Drosophila melanogaster: one gene and its partner. The protein of the gene in region 1 interacts with the protein of each later gene in a pairwise test. Each region holds a gene or a part of one and is shown in the gene's direction. Other genes may lie near its edges.

Region 1 (5,366 bases):
TGGGAAGAGGGGTTGGGTTGGGTTGGGTTGGGTTGCTCTGGCGACCACAGTGCACTCACACAGTGGCACTTCGATTGTTTTTGCATAATTTTCAATGCCCAAAATGTGTATCTGTATAAATAGCTTGAGTTGAGTGTTGGCCACACTTGTGGCATAAGTTCTAATTCGAACGCTGACATTTTGGTGGCATGAAATTTAAGGCTAGATTTACGATGTAATTACCACTGCAAATTGTTCTGCCCAGGAGCGAAGTCAACCGCGAATTAATTAATTACTGACTTCCTATTTATTTTTAAATTGATTTTTAAAATTCTATTTCTGTTCTTTTTATAATTTAATCATATTTAACTTTTATGCAGAATTCCACTGCTATAATATTTTACTGCTCCTCCCTGGGCGCTACAGATGCACATATTTTGCAATTAGAAAAGCTTTCCGGTTACTTATTCGGTTGAACGAGACAAACTTAATTAAAAAGATTTTATGGAACCTAGAGCATATAAAGTCGGAAAATAAAAAAATCAGTAAAGGCCTCAACGGAATCGAAGAGAATGATGAATAACATCTTGGTCTTAATAGGTAATTCAGGCTGAGTTAATAATAAAGTCATAAAGTAATCGTGTTTTAGGCTTCTCGAGTGTTATGCTCGTTGCTGGCTTAGATGATATGAACTGTTTTTCCCTGCAAAACGAAATTTGTCCCAATGCCAACATTTCCTTTTGGCTATACACGTAAGATTAATGGTTTTATACTATGATTTTCATTATCTATCCGTATCTGCAGAAAAGAAAATCAGGAGGGAACTAAGCTTTCAGTTTTTGAACTTAATCGTTTTGAATTTTATCACCACAAACCGCTCAAGGTTCTGATCCATGGATTCAACGGGCACCGCGATTTCAGTCCCAATACCCAGCTACGTCCGCTGTTCCTGACACAGGATTACAATTTGATATCCTTGGATTATCCAAAACTAGCCTATGAACCCTGCTATACGGAAGCGGTGCACAATGCCAAATACGTAGCTCGCTGTACTGCTCAGTTGCTACGAGTACTCCTCGAGAGCGGATTGGTCAAAATTGAGGATCTGCACCTAATTGGCTTGGGCTTAGGTGCCCATGTCGCAGGCTTCATTGGGCAGTTTCTTCCGGAACACAAGCTGGAGCATATTACAGCCCTCGATCCGGCAAAACCATTTTACATGGTCAAGGATCCGGCTCTAAAGCTCGATCCCACTGATGCCAAGTTCGTGGACGTCGTGCACACGGATGTCACGATGCTTGGCTTACTGGATGCAGTGGGTCACGTGGACTTCTACTTGAACATGGGTGTATCACAGCCCAACTGCGGACCCATTAATAAGAGTTAGTAATATTAAGGCCATCTGCTTTACCTATATTTTTCATTTTCGTTGTTCTGACTTTAGTGGAGACTCATTTCTGCTACCATAACCGAGCAGCAGACTATTATGCCGAGTCTATTTCGTCACCTTCTGGATTCTATGGCTTCTACTGTCCCAATTTTAAAAGCTTCGCAAAGGGAATTTGCATTCCTGATAAAAATATAGAGCTGATGGGTTTTCACGTGGATCCGAAGTAAGTGCCAGCACCTATTTTTCCAGATCTCTTTTTATCTATTTAATTGCAGAGCCAGAGGCAGGTATTTTCTGGATACCAATAATGGTCCTCCTTATGCCAAGGGAGAGAACTTTACCTCAATAAGCCGCCAACTAAAAGGTCGAACTTTCGTGAACGATGATATTATAGATAAATTGATTGGAACGTAGTAAGGGATGCTATCCAAATCTTAAAACGAATATTTTTAATTCATAAATAAACATTGAATAATGTACCACATAGAGGATTATATATCTCTATTTTCGTGTAAAAATTTTTGCCATTTCAAAATCATATTTCGGCCTGGTCTAAATATTCAGGTGAAATACTTTCGACACTCTGACATGTTCAGGTGAGTTTGGCCCACCTTCGCAATCAACAGGAGGAGCCAACCCGACGACCACGTCAACAACTCGTTGGGCCAGGTGACAGATGCCAAGAAAAAGGAAAAGTTGCCGCCACTCAGTTTCAGTTTCAGCGTGTTTCGGTGTGCGTGAAAATAAATGTATATGGAAAGCAATTTCACGCGCCTCTGGCTTTTCATTCGAAACGAAACATAATGGAATTTCTTGGTTGCGAGGGGCGGCAAAACGAACGAATCAAATCACAACTAACGCGAAACTAGCAGCCAAACAAGTGTTTGCATTCCGTCGCCAAGAAGCGACGACAACCGAGGATGTGACTCGGAATCGAATCGACTCCAAATCAAAGCAGGCGACGGAGTTTGATCGATAAAAGTCAAACGACGGAGTTAGGAGCGCCCAAAGTTTTGGGGCTAATCGGTATCAAAACGGTGTAAATAGTTAGTTGGTAGTCAGTGGCAGAGTAATACGTAGAAAGAACGGTCGGGTCAAGGAGCTATCGGCATGGAGGAGCTGCAGGATGCCAGCATCCACCATATGACCGCAAAGGTAATCGCGGCCATCAAGAACACTAAGAGCTACGAGCCCATCTACAAGGAGCTGCAGAAGCTGGTCTGCAATCCCAGCGTAGATACTCACGATATGCGCAACACCCTCGAGGATGCCATCAAGAGCGCCGGACTGGAGACGGAGATCCGGAATATTGTCTACAACCTGGTCCGCACGCGGCTGTCGAAAACAGATGACAAAAACCTGGCCAACAAACAGGGAGCGGTGGGTACAACTTTTAAGATACAATTTATCAAATTTCTTGTAATTGAATTTAGAATAATTGGAGTGGTATTTAAAAGTATTCCATGCTGCTCCTATCATTTTCTACTTTTTGACTTTATTGGCAAAATTTTATTTTATACCTTAACGTTTATAAAACAAATTATAATGATACATAATACCGGAAGATCTCGAAGTGCCACAACTATAGAGTTAGCCTTAGGGGTATTAGTAGTATGTAGTGCTAGGGAAAATGAATTAAATAGTTCTTTACTTATGTCTATATTTTCCAATAGAAACCCACCGTTAGTGATCCACTTGGATATTTAAAAAGAGCTGGTGTGCTTTGGGATCGAAGGGTTAGGAAGAGTTTGAATGCCATGTGTACAGAGCTGAAGGTTCCATTGCATGGACAACCAAGGATCAGTGCTGATCGCGAGGACTTTATGGCCAAGTGGAACGAACTGAGCAACTACAATATGGGTAGGCATTTCGTAAATATTGAAGCTAACAATTAACCATGGTTAAACTTCTAGATCTGGCCAACTATAGGCCTGTTTACGCTCCAAAGGATTTACTGGAGGTGCTACTCTCGCTAAAAGGACCCGCCAAAACCACTGAAAATACAGAGTAAGTTTTGGTTTAAATCAGTCAGGTAAATAATCATTTTGCTCATTAGTCAAATCCCCCAATGGGAGTTCTCCCACATTGCACTACCTGTGAAAAATCTTTTCGAGCTGCGTGCCCACTACGCGGATCTGCTGCGAAGTGATAGCTATTTGGGAGTGCCGGATCTTACGGTTCAGTGCCAGAGGATTCTGGAGGCCAGGCATGCGCCCATGTGCCAGCAGTTTCTGAAGAAGGGCTGCACACCCGCACCTTATAGGGGAGCTCTCTGGGCTTCGGTGCTGGACAGCAAGCTACATGACTACGTAACTACTGATTTTGGGATCAATAACCTCATTATACATCTCTATACCCCCGAAGGATATTGAGTACTGGCAAAAGCTGCGCAATGCCGTTTGGACTACGGATCACATCGTTGACAAACTGGTCTTCAAGGACATTCAGTTGACGGCCTCCAACGACGACCAGTACTTTGTGTTCGAGGACGTGCTCTACCAGGTGCTGCTCTGCTTTTCTCGGGACACCGATATCGGTGGATGTGTGGAATACGAGACGTTTCCGGTGAAGGGCAAGACCTACGAAGGTCCTCCATCGGGTGTGGTGCCCTTCCACGGCATCTGCATGTTTGCCGCCCCCTTTTGTTATCTGTATGACTCGCCGGTGAGTCTATACTATACATTCCGGGCCTTCTATATCCGGTACTGCCATCGCTTGACCACCATAAACACGCATCCTCAAGGGATTGTCAGTCTGTGCCTGCTCTTCGAGAAGCTGCTGCAGACATACGAACCGCAGTTATGGTCCCATTTCCGAGAGCTTCAGATACAGCCGTGAGTTGGGATTGGGTTTTTCGTTAGACAGCTATTTCACCCATTTCACGACATATCTTTCCTTAGCCTGCGGGTGGTCTTCAAATGGCTTATGCGAGCGTTTTCCGGACATTTGCCTCCCGATCAATTGCTGGTCCTCTGGGATCTGGTACGAAATACACCTCCGTTCTTATTGGCAGTACTTATCCCTTCCTTTTCAGATCCTTGGCTTTGATAGCTTGGAGATCCTTCCTCTATTCGCCATCATCATTCTTAGCTTTCGAAAGGAGAGCATCATGCAGGTGGCCTCGTTGGATAGCATCGAAGCGATTCTGGCAGACTTGTCCTCTATCAAGGTGCTGCCCCTAGTGCAACTAGCCCTAAGTCGAGACTAAAAGTGTGGTTTTAAGTTACAAAATTAAAGTATTAAGAGTGTTTGGAAATATAACATGTATGCAACTGGATAAACTATATTTAATATAAAGTCGTAACATTATTGAATAACTAATTGCGTTCAACAAAATCCAGCCAAACGCCGCCTTTTAAGGCTGGCATAAAGTAGGTATCATCAATTTCATTATCCTTGCGAGTTTTGGGATTAACCTTGATGTCGAAGTTTCGCACGATTTCCACCAGGGCAGCTTTGATTTGGGTAAGTGAAAACCGCATACCTACAAATTATGCATAGATTTTTTTTAGTAACTTTAATTGTTTCAAAAATGATGTTACCCACCGGGGCAAATACGTGGTCCATCGCCAAACCCAAAGAATAGACCCTGATCTCTGTACTTTTTGGCTCCGCCATTGATGTTCAGGAATCGCTCGGGCTTGAACGATTGAGGTTCCTCATAGTATTGGGGATCGTGGTGCAAGGCGTTCACAGGAATGATGACTACATCCCCGGGTCTCAGTTTCACGCTCACTCCGTTTTTGTTCGTCAGTTCACAGGGCTCAGTTACCACCTTGCGGGCAGCCAGAACAGGTGAGAAAATTCTCAAAGTTTCTGCAGATATAGATATTATACGCATACTAAATAACTTCAGATTTCGCCAAAAAACTCACCATGGATGCAGGCTTCGGTGAAGGGCAGCTCACTTATCTGTTCAAAGGTCAGCTCGGCGGTACCGATCTCCTCCCTCAACTTCATCTGCTCCTTGGGATTGCGTGCCAGGAAAAGGAGTGTG
Region 2 (3,132 bases), 8.7 Mb from region 1:
TGAATCTACTAGACAGGATAATGCATGGCTTGAGACCGCTGTTTCTTCAGTTTCATGCCCATGTCAGGGGATCACTGAGGAAGATGCATGGGGAGCATTTGGTGCCCAGAAACAGACCTTATCCCCAGCATTTGGCAGAGGTCTTTATTGGAAATGCTTTCCGGCGGGTTGAGGCGGAATGGTATGTGGATTTGCCGTCGCCGGAGATCGGATTGGCCAATATTACCCAGGAGCTGCACCGTCGTGGATTGAGTACCACTCAAAGAGTTTTCTGGAATGTGGCCGAGTACTTCAGAGCTCTGGGTTTTCCGCAATTGGAGAAGTAAGTTATTTGATCAGATGTATTACAGTTTTAATTATATTTATCATTTTAGCTCACTTTGGACATATGCCCAGAAAGTGTCCTCCGATGATGATGATCGCTGCTGGCACAAAGCCTGGCGATACTATGCTCTACCAAGGACGAACTTCACCTACTGTCCACTGAACGATGAGGAGCGTTTCTTCAATATGTTTGAGGCCCAGTCGGATTTGCAATACTATCGAGCTGCATCGATTCAACCAACTTTGCTCCAAGAGGAGCCCTTTCCCAATTTCAGTGATGCCATCGGGAAATGTTTCTCCATGGCAGCCAGTTCACCGCGATTCCTTAGAAAACTGGGAATGCTAAGGGATAACAAGTGGAAGGAACTGCCTGCACGTTTGAATCGCTTGTATATTCAGGGCTTGAGGGTTGTGTTCCTGCTACCCGTCTTCTATGTACTAGATCGCTACAGAGTCGAGGTCCTGGCAGGACACATTAAGGCGGATGATAATGAGGCCTATTGGAGGTTAACAGAACTTTATACCGGAGCGGCTGCTCCAACGAAAAGAACCAATGAACAGTTCGATGTGCCGGCTAAGCTTCTCATGGAGGTAGATGACCAGTATGCCAGGTAAAAATATTAAATCTTTACTAGAAGATATGAATATTAAATTATGTTGATTTTCAGCAACTTCCTGAGCATTGTTCTGCAGTTCCAATTGTTGAAACACTTTTGCACCATAACTGGTCAGTTTGAAATGGGCAATCCCAGGAAACCCTTGGACATGTGTGATTTATCCGATCAGCGAGGCATTGGAGAGATTCTGAAACGCGCCATGTCCCTGGGATCTTCGGTTCACTATAGGGAGGTGCTAAAGGTTCTTCTTGGTGAGCCGGAGATCAGCATAGATGGACTGCTCACCTACTTTCAACCTCTGCAAGACTGGTTGCAGCACCAGAATCAAGAAAACAACCTGGAAGTGGGCTGGACATAAGATTTGGTGCAGGGGATATTTTGGAAATTTAATCACTAGTAAATTATTTAAATAAAAACATAATAATGGAAGGGTATTTAGCACAGTCTTTCATAAGACTTCCACCATAAAGTTGTGTGTGGAAATGAACTCTTTGAATTTAATCATCGGAAAAGTAATGCTATGCTTAAATATAAAGTAGACGTGACTTAGATAGAAAAATGAGATAAAACACATTTTAAAGTTATTTTCTAGTAATAAAAACTATTTATGGATCAATTGGTTTCAACTACCCAAAAGTATGCCACAATCAAAAGGCAAATAATGAATATTTTTACAGATGTAGAATAAATGTAGAATTACATATTTACATATGAGTGTCAAATTGGAATTGGCCGTTAGTAATAAATTTGTGTATGTTTTTTAAATTTGCCTAGCCTGTGTTATATACTTTTCGTTTTTGTTCAAAATGTGAAACGTAACGAAAATATAGAATAAATCAATTTTGGATCCCTTTTGATTTCGTCGAAAGTCCCAAAAATTTCCCCATATTGGGAAACGACAGTAGAGACTTCTTCGCAATGGCGACCCATAATGTCCATTCCTGCGAATTCGAGGTATTTGGCCGCGTGCAGGGCGTCAACTTCCGGCGACACGCCCTGCGAAAGGCCAAGACACTGGGTCTTCGCGGCTGGTGCATGAACTCCAGCAGGGGCACCGTGAAGGGTTACATCGAAGGTCGTCCGGCCGAGATGGATGTGATGAAGGAGTGGCTCAGGACGACGGGCAGTCCGCTGTCCAGCATCGAGAAGGTGGAGTTCAGTTCTCAGCGTGAGCGCGATCGCTATGGCTATGCCAACTTTCATATCAAGCCCGATCCGCACGAGAATCGCCCAGTTCATGAAGGATTGGGCAGTAGTTCCAGCCACCATGATAGCAATTAGCGGATTTTTGACGGAACAATAAAATTAAATGTGAAAAATTGTGCTTGGTACATAAGGGAATTGAGCAAAATAATCAGCATAGTCCTTGGGAAATCCGATATTATTCTGAAATCCTTGAATTACCAATCCGAGGGAAGTGAGTTTGGGATGTAGTCACAGTTCGTTGGGCTTGCATTTGTTCTCAATCAGTCAGCGTCTTCTTGATGACGATTAACGTGTTGTTTACTTAAAATAAGCGGAAATAATCTAAGCCAAATGCAAAACATAAGCGCGCCCTGTAATTAAAATGCACTTGATTATAATGACGCGTTGTGCTCTTCACTCGATAGCCACTTATTAAAACCATGCAAATAACTATTGGCGAAAATAAAAATAAAACGTATTTGCACTACGTGCTTAGTGTGCGTCATAAACTATTCACTCGTGTAAATTAATGATTTACAGGCACTTGCCGCTATTTTCCCACGGTTCTTAGCTGTCCAGAACTTGTACTATATTCTGGGCATAGCCAAGTGGTAATAAAACCCTGGCCGACCTTGACTGTTAATTAGCTTTTGGCCCAAAAATAAGGTAACAGTTCCAGGTAGAAAACCGAATCAGCCAACCACATCATAAAGTGTCTAATATTTATGAGCTCATATCCGAGACAGATAGCTACTTTGCAGATCCCAATCTAATTACAGCCTGAATCACACACCTCTCCCCGAGCACATTAATATATAATATATACCATATATATGCATTCTCATTTGTATGTCAGCAGATTGACAATCAAGGCATCAGTCAGCGTGCCAGGCCATTCGATTCATCGGGGTGAAGAGTCATGCTCCCCTCCCCCCATTTAACATCTTTGGGGATAGTTCCCTGCCCATATATCATCTCGATTTTCACCTGACATGAGTCACAACAT

What was found.
Region 2: the proteins of CG7742 (region 1) and Acyp interact in a two-hybrid assay, tested with the Drosophila melanogaster proteins (2 studies listed by BioGRID).

What each region holds. Positions count from the first base shown.
Region 1 is NT_033779.5:5,211,700-5,217,065, reverse strand, and holds CG7742 (uncharacterized protein), read left to right. Parts: upstream 1-1,984; 5' UTR 1,985-2,479; coding exon 2,480-2,749; intron 2,750-2,905; exon of another isoform or gene 2,906-2,914; coding exon of another isoform or gene 2,915-2,980; intron 2,981-3,042; coding exon 3,043-3,229; intron 3,230-3,282; coding exon 3,283-3,376; intron 3,377-3,425; coding exon 3,426-3,678; intron 3,679-3,733; coding exon 3,734-4,203; intron 4,204-4,269; coding exon 4,270-4,351; intron 4,352-4,403; coding exon 4,404-4,577; 3' UTR 4,578-4,671; downstream 4,672-5,366. Other genes in the region: CG14034 (uncharacterized protein), read left to right, coding at 552-579, 629-731, 784-1,361, 1,424-1,592, 1,645-1,783; Cyp28d1 (cytochrome P450 28d1), read right to left, coding at 4,687-4,853, 4,916-5,185, 5,245-5,366.
Region 2 is NT_033779.5:13,910,342-13,913,473, forward strand, and holds Acyp (acylphosphatase), read left to right. Parts: upstream 1-1,741; 5' UTR 1,742-1,859; coding exon 1,860-2,222; 3' UTR 2,223-2,311; downstream 2,312-3,132. Other genes in the region: Ance-2, read left to right, coding at 1-322, 375-935, 993-1,299.